Linked DNA regions of Diceros bicornis minor. The protein of the gene in region 1 purifies or fractionates together with the protein of each later gene. This does not show direct contact. Links are inferred from orthologs where the notes say so. Each region holds a gene or a part of one and is shown in the gene's direction. Other genes may lie near its edges.

Region 1 (9,665 bases):
AGAGAATTTTTATTTGTGCCTCACGGGACTACTCACCAATGTTTTGGAAATTCTGGAGACTAAATTTATATACAAAGAACATAAAACTTTTTTGCTGTCATCGACTAGCTCTCAATGCTGGTGAAGCAGCATTACTGGTGATCACCATCTTTATTCTGTAAAAATGTGAACAGTACTGCAAACTAATACAACTAAGCTGGAAGGGTGCTTATCCTTCTTGTGAGGGAAGAGTGACTTGTAACAATTCTCTAGGACACATAAGCATTTGTTTTTTCACTATTCAGTTCCTTGAAAACTTGATAAGCTTTTAAGAGGGGAGATGGTATTAATTCACCAGAGGATGGTTACAATCTGCAAAAGGCACAGACACAAAATTCAAGTCACACGTTTCTTGTATAGCACATGCAAATCTTATAAATGCTCTTTTTCTTCTCATTCATTACTCAAAATCAAAAGCAAAACTTCAAACCCCACTGCCTAATAAAGGAAGAACTCTTTCTGTTTATGTCTATATTGCCATTGTATAGTTCTATTTATTCCAACAAGTTGCTCTCTGTAAAGATAATTGTGATAGATAACTAGAGAGGCATGTGATTCCGGGGTGGGGGTGGGAAGGGGGTTGGGGGAGCAAAGGAGAAACAAAGAGCAGCAGAAAGGAAAATGATAACAATTATTTGAAATTCATCAATGTATTGAGAGGTGAGTCAGCACAGAGATTGTGTTAGGTACTGAGAATACAAAATGAATTTGACCTAATTTCTGCTTTTGAGGGAGAAACATTCACATAGACATATGACTATATTATCATATATAATATGATAATAAGTATATAGTGTACAAAGTATATTTTACTAAATAAACATCATCATCATGCACTTCACCATTCTTAATAAACCTTAACAACCATCCTTCTAAACTCAACTCCCTGCTTAGGTAAGATTCAATCTCTGCCAATTTCTTCCGGGAGGTTCTCAATTGAAGAAGACAGCTGAATAAAAAACTAAAACATATCACTTGGGAAGGACATTTGAGCTGGGTATTGAAGGATGAATAAAAGTTTTCTGGGAGACCAAAGGACCAAAAAAAAAAAAAAAATCCATGGCAGAAAAGAAATGCCCCAAATGCACAAGTGATTATGTGTATAGGAGCAGCTGCCTTTCTTTGGAGGAGAAGATCAGTGGGTTCAGGGGTTGGGTAAGAAGGTGAAGATCCAGTCTGGCTGGAATTCCTGGGCGGGATTGGGGAAGAGATCTAATTACCTGCCTTTCATTCTTCCTGGTCACCCATCTCAGAGTGATGCTCCTAAGTCACTCTTGGCCTTCCATCCACCTGAGAAAGTGGAAGGGATCATCATGAAAAGGCTGAGGAAGCTGGTAGCATCTCTTCACTCAGTCTCATCCCTAAGAGACCAGTTCTCAACAAGAAACTGTTTGTATGTGCTTGGAGGAGTCTGTCTTGGATGTTTAATATCCCTTTACTTTAAATCCTGATTCCAACTCCTATAGTTGCGGGACTTTGAAAAAGTTACTTAAACATTCTAAATCTCATCTCTCCTCCCCCTGGTTATATGAGAATAATTATAGCATCTTCTCTGTTGAGTTATTGTAAGTTATTGTGAACTCCTCCTCTCCCTCCCCCTCCTTCTGGTCCTCCTCTCCTTCTGGTCCTCCTCCTCCTCCTTCTCCTCCTCCTCCTCCTCCTCCTTCTAAAAAGCAAAGATTATCTTGACTTTCATCACATCGCTAACCAATGGCAAGAAAACTATGCAAACAGATAAAACAACTTTTTTTTTCTTTTGCAAGACTTTTAGGAAGACAAAGGAATATTTTCTTAATTTAAGAATAAGTAATTTCTTGTCTTTTCTCCTATTCTTTACTAACAATTGCCAGTAGTGCTTGCTGCCCTCATGGGGTGTTGCAAGGACGAGGCCAGGGATGAAGTGAAGCATTCGGAGCAGTGCCTGCTCAAAAGACGCGCTCAATGAGTGTTGGCCACTTTTATTATTTTTTAACATCCTTCTATGGTGTTTTGTGGATTTTCAGTTGGTTATTGAAATTACCTACATGCTTTCCACATTTAAAAATTTTCATATTTGTCCTTATGTTAGTATAACAAGAACCTATACGGGAGAATTTGGGGAGGGCACATAGGCATACATATTTATACTAACTGAAAATTTTCCTCTGCAGGTGGCAAGTAATGAAGTTCTGTTTCATCTGTTTCACAAAAAGGATGAGGGAGTTTGTTTTATATTTAATAATGTAAGACTTTATGAATAAAACCAAACACTGATAGAAACATCCAAGGCAAGCCTGGCTTTGTGGTAACATAGCCTTCTTTCCTTTGAACATACAAATATATTTTAAGTTTAAGTTAAAAATATAAATCACATAGAGAGTAAAATAAACGAGGGTGTGTAAGGAAGGTAGATAACAAGAGATAGAGAGTATGCTCATAATTTCCTGAGGCATGATAGTCATGAGTACAGATGGGCTATGAAATCAAGCCAACATCTGGCAAGGTACTCAGTCACAGGCTCTGGTAAGTTACAGCATAAACAAATATTGGAAACAAATTGAATGAAGTAAACACATGTAATCCACAATTGGCAATATTGGAAAATATAACAGCCACTAGAAGAGAGAGCTGATCTTGATTTATATTTTTTATTTGTAAAAATAATACTTTCTTGTTTTGGAAAAATGTTATAGAAATATATGATGTAAAAAGTGCAAATGCCATCCACTTGCCTCTCTGCCTCAACCATTTCCCAGAGGTAATGTCAGGACACTGACAGTGGAAAAGTCAGTAGTATTATACTAGACTGGGCATCACTTTGATTAAAATTACTTAAAACAGGAATTTTTTTATTATGGAAAATTTCAAACATGTAAAAGTAGACAGAATAGTAAAATGAACACTTATGTACTCATCATCCAACTTCCACAATTATTAACGTTTTGCTATCTTCATATTTATTTTCTAAGATATGAAGTGCAAAATACTGGTGGCGACGGAAGCAGATTTGGCATCATGGATTTAGGCAGTGTGCTTTGGTGATATAAACAATGTACATTCTGTATGCACAAAGGCCAGAGAAGTAGCTGGAGATACAGAATACTGTGTAATTAAATTTTCCCTAGGATGGAGCTATTGTGATGACAGTTCATTTATGCTCATATTGCCTTTATTTTCACCATTGTAACCCTAGTTTCTAGTACATTGCCTAGCACATAGTAGGTGCTCAAAAGCTGCTGTTGAAGGAATGAGACTTATTTGCAGTTTAGAGCTCAGCGGCACAAAGGAGACCATGCATTGTAGTATAACTAACCTTTGCAGAATGCTTCTTAATGTATATCGGGTGCTTACTATGTGCTAGGCACCTATGCTTACCAGGAGTTAGGTCCTATTCTAAGTGCCTCAGCTGCAGAAACTCATTTAATTCTTGCAAAAACCCTACGAAGAAGGTACTATTCTCATCTTTTGTTTTGGCAGACACACAACCAGTAAGTTGGTGAAGATCACACAGATAGGAAGGGGTAGATGTGGGAGTCAAGCCCAGAGTCTGTGCACTTAGCACCACTCCTTGCTGCTTCACCCCTGAACGTGTCTGAATCCCATATGGAGCACTGAGCACACTTGAGCACTTTGATAGGTGGTGGTCGTACCTGCACTGCTAGATTAACTCACAACATCACTCCTTTGCAGTGGTGCCAGATAATGGCAGGGTGTTGTACATGGAACAGACTCTTTTGTTTTTAAACAAACTTTGTCATTTTTCACGAACACAAGGCACTTCTAAGTGCTGTGTGGGAGGGAATGTGGTAGACTGATTTCATTGAGACCCTGCCAAATTCTGGTCTTGCGGCCATCAAAGACGCATCATTTCCTCCAAGACTTCTAAAGGGGGCTATTACCACAGGGCCTGCAGGTTCTGGTTTGCATTCAGAGGAGACACTATCTTCTTAAGTGAGACGTGGAAGAGGAAGTGTCATGAATTGTAAATAAGGCTGAGAGAAGAATTGTTTGGAGACGGAGGTGGGGAAAAATTGCCTTTTCCAAACCAGCTTCCATCTCCCTCCCCCTTATCCAACTTTGCCAGAGCTCATCCTGTTTTCTTTGCTAAGTTTACCAGCAGGAAGAGAGGAGTTTCTTTAAGGATACTCCTGCCCCTGACAAATAAATACCTCTGAGATTAAATATTAATACATCTATCCAGTGGAACACCATGCCACTACTAAAAAGAACAAGAAGAAGCCTTAAGAGTTGATGTAGAATGGTCTCCAAGTTATATTTTAAAGTGAAAAAAGCCAATGCTTAAACAATATTTACACCAAGGCTACCCTTTGTGGAAGAAGGAGGGTGATACACCTATATGTGCACAGAATTTGCTTGGAAAAAAGGAAAAGTAAAAATGCTTACCTCTGCCAAAGGATGCGTGTTTCATTCTAAACCTTTTTATATTAGAATTTTTTTAAACCATATACATTCATTATATTTCAGAGTTAAAGTATTCCAATTGTCAACCTGGCAAATAGAAGAGTAAATATAAAAAAATAGCGGAAGAAAAGCAACACTTTACATTAATTGTGTATTTCAGGAGGAGGGGCTGGGACTAGATGTAAAATAATAATTCTACCTCTTCATCTCCCTGAAGGATAGTCCTTTAAGTTGTCATTAAAAAGCACTTGGGAAGGAAGAGACAGAGGGATCTGGAAGATCTCTATTTAGTGAAGTTAGGGGACATTTGATGTCACTGCCCAGGTGTGGGGAGAAATGGAGAGAAAATGAGAACGAGCAAATGTGGTCAGAAAGGAATCCGAGTTCTCCTCCAAACAGAGCCACAAGGACACGTGCGGAGAGAGCTGTGAGGTTTGGTACAGAGTGTTCTGGGTGCCCAGGGTCTGGGAGCCGTCGCTTCATTGCTTCTCCAGTGAAGCCCACCGCGGCTGGTCCTCCTCCCCCTTGGCCTAAGGATATCTTGGCTGGAAGCGCTGCTCTGAAAAGGGGCCTGGCCAAAGGCCCAACAAGAGTCACGCTAGGGGAGTCTTGTCAGGTAACTCAGTGGACAAAAGCCCTTTTCAAGGAGGGCCTCATTCGAGGGATGGGTGACCGTCACGCCGCGGGTACGCCAGAGCCCTGGGTACCTCCAGCTCCCCGGTGGCCTGAAGGACGTTTTTGACGAAAGCCAGATAGGGGGTCTCAGATTTAAATGCCTTTTGAGGCTGGGCAGTTAACGTAACATTCGAAGCCACCAGGTCTAAGAGGAAATAGCAGGAACTTGGGAGAACTGGGCAGGTATATATTCTGACCAAACGCACTCAGATTCAGATTTTTTAAACTACAACTGTGCTGGCCAAGCAAAACACTCGTACTGGCTGGAGTCACTGCCAGATTGCGATCCTGCATTCGTCTCGGCTCAGTATCCGCTTCTCCCGCGTTGCTTCAACCTGCTGCAGATCCTCCGCCCGTCCCGCAGCCACTTCAGGCGCGCGCCGCGCCGAAGAGCGTCTCAAACTTCGGCGCGCCTCCTGAGGGCGCAGTGGCCCTCGCTGCGCTCCCGGTGTTGCTCCCCAATACCTCGGGGGCCAGCAACCGACTGAACTTTGGAGTGGCTCAGGATCCGTTACGGGCTACATTTTATTTCCGCCAGAAACGGAGTTGTAGCGCCCGGGACGTTCTCCCTCGGGCGACTCGGAGCCAGGCGCGGTCCCGGGCAATTGGGGAGATAGGAAGAAACAGCGAGCGTGGGAAGCGCGGGATCCTGGCCGGGTACCCGGCTGAGGGGCGGGGCCGGCCGCAGAGGGGCGCCCCGCCCCGGCCCCGCCCCGCATAGCCCCGCCCCCGCGCTCTAGAGTTTCGGCTCCCGCTCCCACCCTGCACTGAGTCCCGGGACCCCGGGAGAGCAGGCGGTGGGTGTTTTGTGTATCCTCTGCCCGCGCGGGGCATCACTTGCGCGCTACAGAAAGCCCACAGCCATCCTGCAGCCGGGATATCCTCTCCTACCGGCACCCGCAGACACCCCTGCGGCCGCGGCCGGAGCCGGGGCACCCTCGCGCCGTGCGCTGCGGCGTCTTGCGCTGCGGCGCGCGTTCCACCTCCGCGCCTTCTTCGCGGGGCAGGCCCGGGGAGAGAGAACCGGCGTCCGAGTTCTGGGCACTGCGCCCGGCGCGAGGTGCGAGATGGAGGGCAAGGCGCTGCTGGCCATCGCTCTGTGGCTCTGCGTGGAGACCCGGGTTGCCTCTGTGGGTAAGGAGCCCACTCCCTAGAAGGAAGGCGGAGACGTCGGGTGCGGGCGGAGAGACGGGGATGCAGAGAGGACCCGGAGGCCGGATCTAACTCAGAATCATAGAGCTGGAGCGTGGAAAGTGACTTGACACTTTGTGTTCTTTCATTTACCAGTGAGGAAACTGAGGCTTGCGGACTGGCCCAGGGTTACTCAGCTAGTTGGTGGTCTCCTGAGCCCAGTTCCTTTTCCATGACTCTGGTCTCCTACAGGGGCCTCGGCTGGAGCGAGTCCTGCGGAGCCAACACACCCTCGGGCTCTCGGGAGGCGGAGGTGGGAAGGCGCCCCGGGCTGGCAGGCAGGAGGTGCCCGCAGGCGGGAACAGGAGGTGAACAGTTGTCAGGCTGCGCGCCCCATCCTAGCCCGGGCGCGGGGAAGAAGGCCTTGCAGGGAGCGCAAGCCAGTTCGCTCGGATCGCACCGTGCACTCAGTCCGCCTTTGTAGGAGTCAAGCTGTAGGAACCCCGGTCGGCTGTTCCCTTTCGCTCGAACTCACATACCGACTGTATGTGGTGGGGTCCAGGGGGAGGGAAACTTTTTTTCCCCTTGGCGCAGGATGCCGTTCTCTTCGCAGAGAGAAGGGGAAATTGGGGCTTGGACCCAGGGCTGTGACAGCTTCCCAAAGTGTCTCCAAGTAACAGTCAGCTTTGTAAAACAATTTAACATCTTTCAAAACGCTTTGGTCCTTGGGGTAAGCGCATGGTCAGAAGTTCACGTTCTGAAAACTTACTCTGCGAGACTTGGTACCTAGAATGAGCGCCACTCGTCACTCTCCTTGCCACCTAAAATTTCAGTCTCCTTCAAGACTTGGAACACATATGCTCTTGATGCAATAAATTCTTTCTTTTCTTTCTTTCTCTCTTTCTTTTCTATAGCCACAGTCTGCTGATTTCCAGATTTCCACTGTTTGGACGGTGAGAAAGGAAAGAGGGTGGAGAAAGGAAAAAAGAAGTCAAATAATTCAGGGAAAAAAATTCCTTATATCGAAAGGAAAGAATCACATGTCAAAAAAAAAAAAAAAAGACACGCACACTCATATACAGTACCCAGATCATCTGTCTATAGTTATTGAATTTTCTTAATAATGACTTGGTTCATCAGGGCCAGCTCCACCATGGACACTCATTTGTCCCTGACAACCTCTCTCTCCCCCTTAATGGGAGAGAATGAAAGTCTGGAACGTGTGGTTGTTCTGTATCCCACAAAGAAGTGAGTTGCTTTTAAGCCTGGGGTGTTTCATAGCGCAGCAGCAGTAACTGTAACGGGTTGCCCTGAATATAACGATGAGGTTGCCCTTTGGAGTGTGTGACTTGCTTAATTGGATTGGGCTATAATTGGTGCCATCAAATTCTAGAGACAGAGGCACTGTTGTTTTTCCTTCCCGTCTTTGAGCTGGAAGGGTAATAGTGCACAAATTAATTAATTTTGGTTATGGGATTTGAACATAGAAGGGCTTTTTATTGAGTAGCAGCATATGTACTTCTTATAGTTATTTCTTTAGAACTTTCTGAAGAGTAGAACTCAAACTTGCCAATGAAAATGAATGAAGCTTAATGGAGCAAAAAAATTGACTGTTGGTCTACAGATATGAATTTGAAGTTGTTATTGATAGCCTTGTTGAATAGTTTTTTTGTTGGAGACATGTCTCTGGAATAGTATGGTGTTGTCTTGGCTTCCTATGAATGGAGAACATATCTTTTTTTTTTTTTTTTTTACATTGGAAAGTATGTCTAGAGTGTGAGATAATCTGTGGCGATAATTTGTGAGAGATCTTCAAGAATCTCTTGTTTTGGTGGTGGGGAGAGCATAGCTTATTTAGAGCTTAGTTTTTACTACCGTTTTTTTCTCACATGAATGTGCCCAAATAATGGGTTCTTTCTCATTTGATCGTTGTGCAAAGTATAATAAGTTAGTGTAAGTTAGTGTTTTCAACATGTTTCTCAACCTAGTGTTTCCCAGTCAACTTTGGTATCTGTGCTCATCCAAATGAATTGTTTTCATTTTTCTTTTCTTGGGTAAAGTGGGACTCCGTTATTGGAAGGCTTTTCTTTTACTTTTAAACATTTTGCTTTATTGTTGGCTTGCTTTGGGGGCAGTTGCTTCCTTCATATTGAAAAGCGCTGTGCTGATTAACTGAGCATGGCCACCCAGGCCAATAGCTGTCCAAGAGTGGCCCACAGACCGTGTATAATCGACCTGCTTGTTAAAATGCAGATCTGTAGGCCTAGGGACATTCCGACACATGCTAAAGCTTAAGAACTCCTGCCCCAAACACAAGTCAGTATCAATGCCAATTAGTTCCTGAAATTTACTGATATAACTTAATTTCTAGGTTTTTTTTTTTTTTTTACTATGATATTGATCAACAAACATACAGTTATGTCAGCAACCTATTTTTGCACTCTGGGTGAGTATGTGAGAACATGCCTGATCAGTTGTTCACTTTGCCTGCAGCTTTAGAGTTCACAGATTCAATGCATTGGATATTTGCACTGGATATTTGCTTATACTCTCTCATATTTGCTGATACTCTCTTATTTACCCAACAAGGTCAATGCCAGTTTAGGCCTAGAGAGTCATTTGTTCTTACTTGATGTGAGTGAAGGGTCATATTAAGCTCGGATGCTTACGCAGCGTCAGTCACTTTTTTTGTGTGTGTGAGGAGGTTGGCTCCGAGTTAACATCTGTTCCCAATCTTCCTCTTTTTGCTGAGGAAGATTGTCCCTGAGCTAATATCCATGCCAGTCTTCCTCTATTTTGTATGTGGGATGCTGCCACAGCATGGCTTGATGAGCAGTGTATAGGGCGGTGCCCAGGATCCAAACCTGTGAACTCCTGGCCGCAGAAGCGGAGCGCATGAACTTAACTACTACGCCACCGGGCTGGCGCCTATCACTCACTTTTTAAGGTGGTGTTTGAAGATCTGGATATCAGTTAAGGCCCTAGCATGGTAGACAGCTTTTCTTTCTTTGATGCTTTTTCAATACCTGGGAACTCTTCCCATTTAGTTGACAGAGAGTTCAGTTTTCTTGCTGTGGAGTGACCCATGGTGAAGAATTGATTTCATGGTATTTTTAGGTAAAGACAGGTTTCTTGTGTTCCAAGCTTGGTATCAAGAGGAGCTCAGAGCTTTGATTAATAAGTTGAGATTCCCCAATTGTAATTCATTAGCGTTACACTCTTTTTAGTCCCGCTCTTTGGGGAAAAGTATGTTAATAGGCATATTATATGACATTGGAAAATGTTTTCTTTCCCTCAATTCCTCTCCCCTAGTTTTAGTGTACAGTCTTTCAACCTTGGCAGTTCAGTTACCAGAGGAAGTGCACTCGAAAATTGGTAAAGGAAAATAAGACAAGGTCACGGACACTCCCACCCCCTTC
Region 2 (10,408 bases), on another chromosome or scaffold:
AAGTCTGACCCTCAGATGCCCAGAGTCCTCAGCAGCCACAGGTGTCTGGAGCAATTATCTGGAGAAAAGAGGAAGGAAATGAAAAATGCTTCAAGCTACCAACAGAACCCATCACGTACACTCCGGGCGCTTTCTCACAAGAGAACTTAACTTGATCCCTGGCCTACGTGTTCTGTGACACTGTGTGTCACAGGGCTCTCTGTGAGGATTTTGCATACAGGTCCAGGGCCACTCGGTGCAGGGGTGGGGAGCCCTACACACCCACGCAATCCCCGAGGAAGCCACAGATCTGGCCCGCAGGGGGCTGACTGCCGTTCTAATGAGTGATGGTTTCAAGTCCACATTTTTGGACCAGTCATCTTGTTCCAGGCGCCCGCCAGACACACAAAGGAGACAGAATCCAAGTGGAGGGAGGGGAGATGAGCAGATTAGCAAGGTGTTGGACCGTGAAGGGGTTTTGTAAAATGCCAAGGAGCACAGAGAGAGTGGAGCAGCAGAGGAGAGAGCCACGGAGGGGAGATCTGGGTCGAGAAGGCTGGTGGGGGCTCTGCGAGCAGGTAAGGGGGCAGAGAGAAGGCAACCCTGGGCAAAGACCCAGAGGCGTGAGCTGCATGGCTTTACCACCACTGCCTTCACAGAAGCCGGTGGCATGGCTTCCCTGCACCATCCCTGGGCCTCCCACACTCTGGGGAAGAAGGAACAGGAACTCTGGTTTGAGGAGCCCCTACTGTGCACCAGGCACAGTTTGGTGGGCAGGAAACCTTGGTGGGTGAGGAGACAGCCTTTGGAAACAGAGGCCTGGGTCGGAATTTCCGTTCCACCACTGACAAGCTCTGTGATCTTGGGGAGCACTTAATTCTCAGTCTCTGTTTCCCCGTCTGTGTAATGAGGATAACAATAGTGCCGTCCCCCAGGGTTGTCCTCAGGACTGAAAGAGGAGTCCCCAGGGAGAGAGCTCCCTGCACGGCCAGCACACTCAGCTGCGGTCCTTAGACATGAGCATGCAAAAACGTCACTGGAGGAGCTGCAAACATGTAGGTCTCAGGGTTCCGTGACCAGCCATTCTGACTCCACCTGCCTGGGGAGGCCCAGGAATCTGCATTTCAGCCACACTTCCCAGCTGATTCGGAGGCGGGCGACCTGAAGACCACATTTGGAGAAACGCCTGCTCAATAACTGCTTGTTGTTACCGTCATTTATTTTCTGTGTCTCATTTGACCCTCCAGACAGCCCTGCAAAGTGTGACTGGCAGCCCATTTCACAGGTGAGGGAAGAGGCTCAGAGAGGCAAGTCAACAGCCTCAGGTCACACAGCCAGCGATGGGCCAGGGTAGGAGCTGAACCGGGTCCACCAACCCCAAGCCCAAACCTCTCCAAGCAGGGCGTGACAGGGCCCCCTCCCTGGTCAGCTCTCGTTCTGGCAGAGGCTGGGTGGGTGTCCGCAGGCCTCGTTGGTACGGTCCCCAGCCCACCCCCACCGCCCTCATTCTTGCTTCCTCCTCCAGCTGCTAATCAGGTCTCGCAGACCATCCCGTTTCCTGCCGGCCCACCGGCTGCCTCCCCTGCTCCTGATGGCGCTTCCTGGCCTTGTGCCCTCCTGTTACCTCCTTTGCCTCCAGACGTGTTGGAGCAGGGGCTGGGCAGTGGCAGAAATCGGGCATGAGATCCTGAGGAGGCCCTGAGGGGCACTAGCCTCCCTCCCATGGCCTGGACCACCTCTGCATGGCGACCCCACCCCCACCCCAGGGGCACAAGTCTGGATGCCATTCCCTTGTTTACAGATGACAGGAACAGCGGGCTTCAGGGCAGAGTCAACTTCCTCACGGACTGGGAGTACAAAGGGAACCGGCAGATGGTGCCAGGACAGACCCTGTCCCTGTCTGCCACCTGCGCCAGTCTGAGACCCAGCAGGAAGTCATGCCCGGCCAGGCCCGGCCCCGTGGGCACGTAGACTCACGCAGGGCAGGGGTGAGGGGGATCAGGCTGGGGCACCAGGGACAGAGCATGGGCCTGTCCTGGCTCCTCAAGGGCCCTTCCCACCCTCTGGCAGGAGAAGGCAGAGTTAATCCTGTTGGAGAAGGAAAGTCTGAGCCTTTGTTTGTTCATTCCACAAACGGTGATCGAATGTGCTGGATCCCGCTCAGAGGCCGCCTCGGGACGGTTATCCTTCCAGCAGGTCGCTCCCCTTGCTCCAGCATCATCTGGCTTCCTGGCTGCTGGATGCCCCCTCAGCACACAAACACGCCACCACAGCCTCAAAAAGACAACAAAAAGCCTCCCATGTCTCTGCTCCCACCACTGCAAGTCTTGGGGAAGGAGCTGTGATCGCGTGTGCCTCTACTCGCCCATGCCTCCTGCTCTAGCCCGGGCCCTCTAATCCACCCTGTCCGCTCCTCTCCATCTAACCTGCACTGCTCACAGTCATCCATGACCTCCGTCCTCCAAACCCAGCAGTCGAGTCTCAGCCCTCGCTTTTCCCAGGATGACCCAGCTGACACCCCACTGTGCTGGCCCCATGGCCTCAGGGGCCAGCCCTAAGTGTCCCCCCCAACCCCCCCCAACCTCATCTCCAGGCCACCCGTCTCCACCTGTCCCCAACCCTGTCTCCACCCCATCTCCACCTGTCCCCACCTGTCTCCACCCCTGTCTCCACCTGTACCCACCCCTGTCTCCACCCTGTCTCCACCTGTCCCCACCCGTCTCCACCCCGTCTCCACCCCTGTCTCCACCTGTACCCACCCGTCTCCACCCGTCTCCACCCCTGTCTCCACCTGTACCCACCCGTCTCCACCTGTAACCACCCCTCTCCACCCGTCTCCACCTGTACCCACCCGTCTCCACCCGTCTCCACCTGTACCCACCCGTCTCCACCCCTGTCTCCACCTGTACCCACCCGTCTCCACCCGTCTCCACCTGTAACCACCCCTCTCCACCCGTCTCCACCCCTGTCTCCACCTGTACCCACCCGTCTCCACCCCTGTCTCCACCTGTCTCCACCCGTCTCCACCCGTCTCCACCTGTAACCACCCCTCTCCACCCCTGTCTCCACCTGTACCCACCCGTCTCCACCCGTCTCCACCCCTGTCTCCACCTGTACCCACCCGTCTCCACCTGTAACCACCCCTCTCCACCCGTCTCCACCTGTACCCACCCGTCTCCACCCGTCTCCACCCCTGTCTCCACCTGTACCCACCCGTCTCCACCTGTAACCACCCCTCTCCACCCGTCTCCACCTGTACCCACCCGTCTCCACCCCTGTCTCCACCTGTACCCACCCGTCTCCACCCGTCTCCACCTGTACCCACCCGTCTCCACCCGTCTCCACCTGTACCCACCCGTCTCCACCCCTGTCTCCACCTGTACCCACCCGTCTCCACCCGTCTCCACCTGTAACCACCCCTCTCCACCCGTCTCCACCTGTACCCACCCGTCTCCACCCGTCTCCACCCCTGTCTCCACCTGTCCCCACTCCTGTCTCCACCCTGTCTCCACCTGTACCCACCCGTCTCCACCCGTCTCCACCTGTACCCACCCGTCTCCACCCCTGTCTCCACCTGTACCCACCCGTCTCCACCCGTCTCCACCTGTAACCACCCCTCTCCACCCGTCTCCACCCCTGTCTCCACCTGTACCCACCCGTCTCCACCCCTGTCTCCACCTGTCTCCACCCGTCTCCACCCGTCTCCACCTGTAACCACCCCTCTCCACCCCTGTCTCCACCTGTACCCACCCGTCTCCACCCGTCTCCACCCCTGTCTCCACCTGTACCCACCCGTCTCCACCTGTAACCACCCCTCTCCACCCGTCTCCACCTGTACCCACCCGTCTCCACCCGTCTCCACCCCTGTCTCCACCTGTACCCACCCGTCTCCACCTGTAACCACCCCTCTCCACCCGTCTCCACCTGTACCCACCCGTCTCCACCCCTGTCTCCACCTGTACCCACCCGTCTCCACCCGTCTCCACCTGTACCCACCCGTCTCCACCCGTCTCCACCTGTACCCACCCGTCTCCACCCCTGTCTCCACCTGTACCCACCCGTCTCCACCCGTCTCCACCTGTAACCACCCCTCTCCACCCGTCTCCACCTGTACCCACCCGTCTCCACCCCTGTCTCCACCTGTACCCACCCGTCTCCACCCGTCTCCACCTGTACCCACCCGTCTCCACCCGTCTCCACCTGTACCCACCCGTCTCCACCCCTGTCTCCACCTGTACCCACCCGTCTCCACCCGTCTCCACCTGTAACCACCCCTCTCCACCCGTCTCCACCTGTACCCACCCGTCTCCACCCCTGTCTCCACCTGTACCCACCCGTCTCCACCCGTCTCCACCTGTACCCACCCGTCTCCACCCGTCTCCACCTGTAACCACCCGTCTCCACCCCTGTCTCCACCTGTACCCACCCGTCTCCACCCGTCTCCACCTGTAACCACCCCTCTCCACCCGTCTCCACCCCTGTCTCCACCTGTACCCACCCGTCTCCACCCGTCTCCACCTGTCCCCACCCGTCTCCACCCCTGTCTCCACCTGTCCCCACCCCGTCTCCACCCGTCTCCACCTGTCCCCACCCCTGTCTCCACCTGTCCCCACCCCGTCTCCACCCGTCTCCACCCGTCTCCACCCCTGTCTCCACCTGTACCCACCCGTCTCCACCCGTCTCCACCTGTCCCCACCCGTCTCCACCCCTGTCTCCACCTGTCCCCACCCCGTCTCCACCCGTCTCCACCTGTCCCCACCCCTGTCTCCACCTGTCCCCACCCCTGTCTCCACCTGTCCCCACCCCTGTCTCCACCCCTGTATCCAACTGTATCCACCCCTGTCTCCACCAGTCTCCAACTGTATCCACCCCATCTCCAACTGTAGCCACCCCTGTCTTCAACTGTAGCCACCCGTCTCCAGCTGCCAACCTGACATCGCCACTGGGTTGTGTAAGGGCCATCTCAACATCAACGTGCCCCAAACAGAGAAATCTTTATCTCCCCCTCCCCAAAAATATTCTTCCATCCCATTCCCCCTCTCCACACTAGTGTCCACTGACTTACTGAGGGCCCCTGGGCAAGGCCTCTCCCTCTCAGGTCTCTGCCCAGCTGTACAACGGAACAGGTTCGGGACTTCCCAGCCATTCATTCATCCACGGAAACAGAGGGGCAACTAGTCAAAGGACAGACTCCCACTGCCTGCCCTGGGAGACTCCACATCCCTCGGCCTGGGGTGGGGCCCCGGGATCCGCAGTTCATAAAAGCTCCTCAGGACTCTCGTGACTCACAGAATTTGAGCCCCTCCCCCGCAGCATCTTGGTTCTGACGGGCTCTGATCCGGCCTTCAGCTTCACTATCTTTCATGTCCCTCTTCGACTCCCGTTTACCACAATAGCCATGTGAGGTTCAGGCTACGACTTTCCACATTTTACAGATGAGGAAACTGAGGCTCAGGGTGGACATGACTGGCTCATAGTCACATCAGAAGCAGAGCCAGGGCGCTTGACTCCACCTGATTTTTCTAAACCCAAACGACCCCCCAAAGCCCAGTCTGGTGCCTTAGAGCTGGAACCCACGCCCCCTCACTGGGAAGAGGTCGATCCAACTCACAGAGCCAAGAGCTGTGGTCTGTGTCCCACCTCCCACCCACTCCACCCCCGACGCCCTGAAGCCTCCCCATCCCCTGCAAAGTCGGCCCCACCCCAGCATGTCATGGGGTCACCTGGGAAAATCTGGCTCTGGGCCTAGGCTGACCCAGGCTGGATTTTTGGCTCTGCTACGCCCCAGCTGGGTGGACGAGCATCTTCAACTTGCTGAGTCTCAGTGTCCTGAGCTTTATTATAAAATGGGGGTGATGACCCCTGCCCTCGGGGTTACAGGGAGGGTGAACTAAGGCCCTAGGCAGGTGCTGGGCTCAGGACGCCAGAGCTGAGGCCCGGGCCGGGTCCAGGGCTAGGCCTCTGTGAGGTCAGCCTGGCTGGGCCGAGGCAGCCGCCCACTGTGGGGCCTGCCTATCTGCAGCCAGCCCGGCCCTCACAAAGGAACAATAACAGGAAACCATCCCGGGGGAAGTGGGCCAGGGCCAGCTGGAAAACCTGAAGGGGCGGCGGCCAGGCCTCCCTTGCAGGCCAGGCGTGGCTCCCCTCGAGAGCTGTCGGCAGAGCCCCAGAGAGCTCCGGAGCACACTCGGCCCCAGGCAGGCAGGCAGACGAACGGAGACACCTCTCAGCCCACGGGCACGGTGAGTGAGGGCTCCCTGCACCGCGCTCCACCCAGACCCATCGCCATGTGCCCGGGACCGGAAGGTCCTCGGCTTCCCCATCTTAGAATGGTGGTGGTCGGGGTCTCAGGAAGATCCACTCCTCGGGCCAGACTCGGCCTCCTCCTGGTTCAGAGCAGGGCTGGTGCACCCCGTGGAGGCACCGGCCACGAACAGGTGTTCTCAGGGCTGAGGGAGGGGGTGAGGACTCGGCTCTCCCACATGTAGACTCTCCAACTCGGTGTGACTCGAGGGCCCACTGGCTTCCATCGGTGCCAGGCTCAGAGAGGGCAGGATTCTACCCGAGTCGCCCAGCACACTGGGGCGGAGGACTGGCACCCAGGCCTAGGCTCCCCCTCGGTGCCCCTTCCCCGTGGGAAAGGATTAGCCAAGGCCTGGCATCATCCCCTCCCCCAAGGCTCTGGGATTGGGAGAGGAGCTCAGCCCCCCTCCGTTAGCCAGTGCCCCCACTTTCAGAACAGGCAAGCTGAGGCTCAGCTCTGGGCACCTGAGGTCCGGCCTACGGACTCCCCTTCCCGCCCTGCCCCAGACACACAGGACGGCTACCAGCTGTGGAGCCGTGGTCGGGAAAGCGGCCCACCCTTCCCCCCAACACCCAGATAACCGAAGGCTGGGCCCAAGGGACCCCGCAGCCCTCATATTTTAGGGAAGTCTCCCCCAAAAGACTTGAAGGCAGGCGGTGTAGGGTGAGAGCCCAGCCTGGAGACCGTGGTCCTGGCGCAGAGCCCAGCCCCACCACTCGCTTCCTGTGTGACTTGGGGAAAACTCTCCAGTGTCTCCGAACCTCAGTTTGCTTGTCTGAACAATGGACATAGCGAGTCTCTGCAATTTACTGTGGGAACTGGAGCTGATGCGCATAGGAGGCTCTTAACCAAAGGGGCTCATTATGTTATCCTACCAACAACCCAGTGAGTGGGACAGATCCTTTCTCCGCCTCTAGTGGAGGCGGCTGAGCTTCAGAGAAGGTAAGGAAGAGCTGGAGTGGGGAGCTTGTACCCCAGAGCCCAGGCTCCTTCCAGCATCACGCAGCTTCTCCATGCCTCAGCCTTCTCATCTGGGAAATGGAGGAAACGGTCTTTTCATGAGTCACCTGAAGGAGGCAGTGTACACACCTGGCACCGGGAATGGCTCATAGCAGGGGAGTCTTCGAGAAATCATGGCTGAATTTACCTGCCACCCCAGAGCTGACCGTGGCTATGAGTGTCATAAAGGTTTTGACCCCTGAGGTCGGTGAGTCCCCAGCAGGTGAGGCGGAGGGGGTGCAAGTGAGGGGCTATCGACTCAGCTCTTCCTCTGGCCAGCACTTTGGGTAGCTACTCTGCACCAAGCACTGTGCTTGTTCTCCACACCCCTCGATGGACGTTTCTGCCATGGGTGGTGGGCAGATAGGATCCTGACAGGAAAGAAGGGCATTCTAGGGGAGGCAGGAACCCTGGGCAGCTCGGAGGTTTTGGGAAGGCTGTGGCCAGAGGGTTTTTTAGAGCCAGGAGCGCCAGGAGGGCTAGTGATGCTGGAGGCCCTGAGTGCCAGGCCCAGGAGCGCTGGTTCATCTTCAGGCGATGGGGGGCAGTGGGACTGTCCCCCGTCTGGCCTGAGTCCAGCCATCTTTGGGCCCCAGCCTGGAGGGCAGCAGGTGACCTCCAAGGGGCCCAGGCAGCCCTGCCAATTCCGGCTTACTATGGTGAGGGCAGAGGGGTGGCATCCCCCGGCCTTGAAGAGGTTAAGCTGCCCACCATGCAGGCTTGACCTGAGCAATTGTGCTGCTGAACAAGAGCCGGACGTGGGGGCAGGAAGTCAGAGGGGGCTAGGCTTATTTTCTCCCGAAGTTGGATGACTCACAGCTCTGCTGCTGCCTCTGGGACACAAGGTAGACACTGGCCACCAGCTAGGGAAAAACCTTGGGCCACTTGCCCATGTGGACCCATCCCTGCTACATCCGTCACCTCTCTGCACTCCCATGGCAGCCTTGAAGCTACTAAAAGAATTTCCATTTCACAGATGGGACCACAGAGGCCGAGAGAGGCTGAGCAGCCAGTCCAAGGTTACAGTTAGCACAAGGTGGAAGCAGGATATGAGTGAGGCCAGCGCCTCTGACCTCACGGCCCCCGCCACGCTCCATAGCGAAGCTCAGAGAGGGGATAAGTGGAGGAAGATTGAACCTGGCCGTTCAGCCACAGTTGGCTGACAGTTCAAGCCACAGAAGCAGGTATCAGGACAAGCCAGGAGGCCCAATGACCCTGGGGAAGGAATGTTCCAGGAGACAAGTCCTGCCCTCGGGAGCTTGGCTTCTAGCTGGAGAGCTACTGAAAAGCCCATCCTAACCCAGGTCTAAGCTGATGTTGGGTGGAGAAATCATAGAAGGCTTCCTGGAAGAAGAGCAGGAGCCCCAGAGGAAGCTGGGAGGTCTTGGGGAGCCCCTCTGCTCTCTGAGCCTCAGTCTTCTCATCTCTCTAGGGCAGGGAATGGACCTCATTCAGGGACCTCCAGATTGTTTGTCTTGGGCCACAGCGTAACAGTCAGATCCTGGCGGGCGCAGATACGAGGAGGAGGAGGAAGCAGGGCCCATGGGGCCAGGCCAGGCAGGCAGTGAATGAGATTTCCTTCTGGAGAGGCACAGAGGGGAGCAGGAGGTGGGGCCAGGGCAGAACCAGGAAATGAGGCCAGGTGTGAGTCGGCCAGTCGAGCCCACAGCCACCAGGCTGACGAGGGTGAGTGGATGTGGGTCAACAGACCCGCACACTTACTGAGCACCTACTGTGTGCCAGCTTCACCCCCTTGACCTCATTTAATCCTCCTGACTAGGAAGGCAGCTACGGTTGATGAGGAAGCTGGGGCCCACAGAGGGCAAGGGATGGGCCTAAGGCCACACAGCTCCTATGCAGCTGAGCAGGTTCAAACAGGTAGGCCTGTAGGGTTCATTCTATTGCCCCCACTGACTGCCTCACAGCCCCCATCAGAGTAGGGAAGCCCAGAGAAGGCTGGAAAAGGCTCCATAGGGTGGATGTTCTCTCCCCGAACGTGGAGTTGCCCCATTAGGAGACAGGGGAATAGACTGGATGATCTTGGAGCCCAGAGACCCCAAGACAACACAGATTTGTTTCAAATTACAACCCATGAGCTCCGTTTTGCCAGCCCCGCATTCAGAGGCACCCAGCACAGGGTACGTGTGTGTTCACCGGGGACCCATAAGAAGGATAATCTCGTTGTCCTCAAAGGATCAGAATCCTAATGGTGGTGTGTCTGACAATGTGAGGGGCCATCAGAGATGCTGCTGGGGACGAGGAGGAGCTTCCCTGAGTTATACCAGCTATTGCCCCTGCTCTGACCCCCCGAGGTGTTGTCTGCAAATACGCAGATTTGTTTCAAATCCTGTGAGTGAGGAGGGAAGCAGTGACAAGCCAGAGCTGGAGACCGCAGCAGGCTGACATGCAACAGTGGGGACACCGACACCCCAAGGTCAGGGGCCTGGAGTCCATGGAGCTGGATGCTAGGGTGGAGTAGAGACAGACCCAGAACCGGCCTGGTCAGAGACGCTCAGGCCAGGGACAGAGGCTGTGCTAGGGGCAGGAGTCAATCAGAAGACCTGTGGGGGAGCCGGCCTGGGGCTTGAAGAGAAGTAAAGCATTCACTCAGGGGACACGGCAAGGAAGGGCATTCTGTGCACAATGCCTGCTGGACAGAGGAAGAGCACTGTGAATTCCAGAAATGTCTAGTTCTCCTCATGGCTGGAAGGGACATGGAGATGGGGGAGAGGAGAGCCGGAGGGGTGGGCAGGGGACACACCATGCTGGGCCTTCCATGCTGGCCCAGGAGATGGACTTCATCCTGCAGGGGGTGGGGAGCCCGGGGGAGCAGTCGGCAGGGGAGCCACGTGGTCTGCTTTAAGGGGAGTTGAGACAGGGAGGCTGGTGGCAGAACCCTGAGGGGAGGGGATCTGGTCTGGGACCCACAGGAGCAGGTCCCAGGGCTGAACTGAGCCGAAAATTAGGAGAAAGCCCCAGGGGGCCAGCTCATAGCTACCCAGTCCCACTCCCAACACAGCCCCTCCCAGAGGCTCCAGGGCCTCACCCTTCACTCGCCCAGTGTTAGTGGATGCCAAGGCCCAGCTGTAAATGCTGGGGCTCAAGCAGACAACTGGGGAGTCCCTG

The links.
Region 2: the proteins of KDR (region 1) and CDH5 purify together in Homo sapiens (affinity purification with western blotting; 3 studies listed by BioGRID and IntAct, with this or other methods). This does not show direct contact. The link is inferred for Diceros bicornis minor from reciprocal best matches to the Homo sapiens genes KDR and CDH5.

What each region holds. Positions count from the first base shown.
Region 1 is NC_080747.1:42,931,796-42,941,460, reverse strand, and holds the start of KDR (vascular endothelial growth factor receptor 2), read left to right. Parts: upstream 1-5,910; 5' UTR 5,911-6,182; coding exon 6,183-6,249; intron 6,250-9,665. UniProt on the Homo sapiens protein: Tyrosine-protein kinase that acts as a cell-surface receptor for VEGFA, VEGFC and VEGFD. Plays an essential role in the regulation of angiogenesis, vascular development, vascular permeability, and embryonic hematopoiesis.
Region 2 is NC_080771.1:18,401,259-18,411,666, forward strand, and holds the start of CDH5 (cadherin-5), read left to right. Parts: upstream 1-6,169; 5' UTR 6,170-6,221; intron 6,222-10,408. UniProt on the Homo sapiens protein: Cadherins are calcium-dependent cell adhesion proteins. They preferentially interact with themselves in a homophilic manner in connecting cells; cadherins may thus contribute to the sorting of heterogeneous cell types.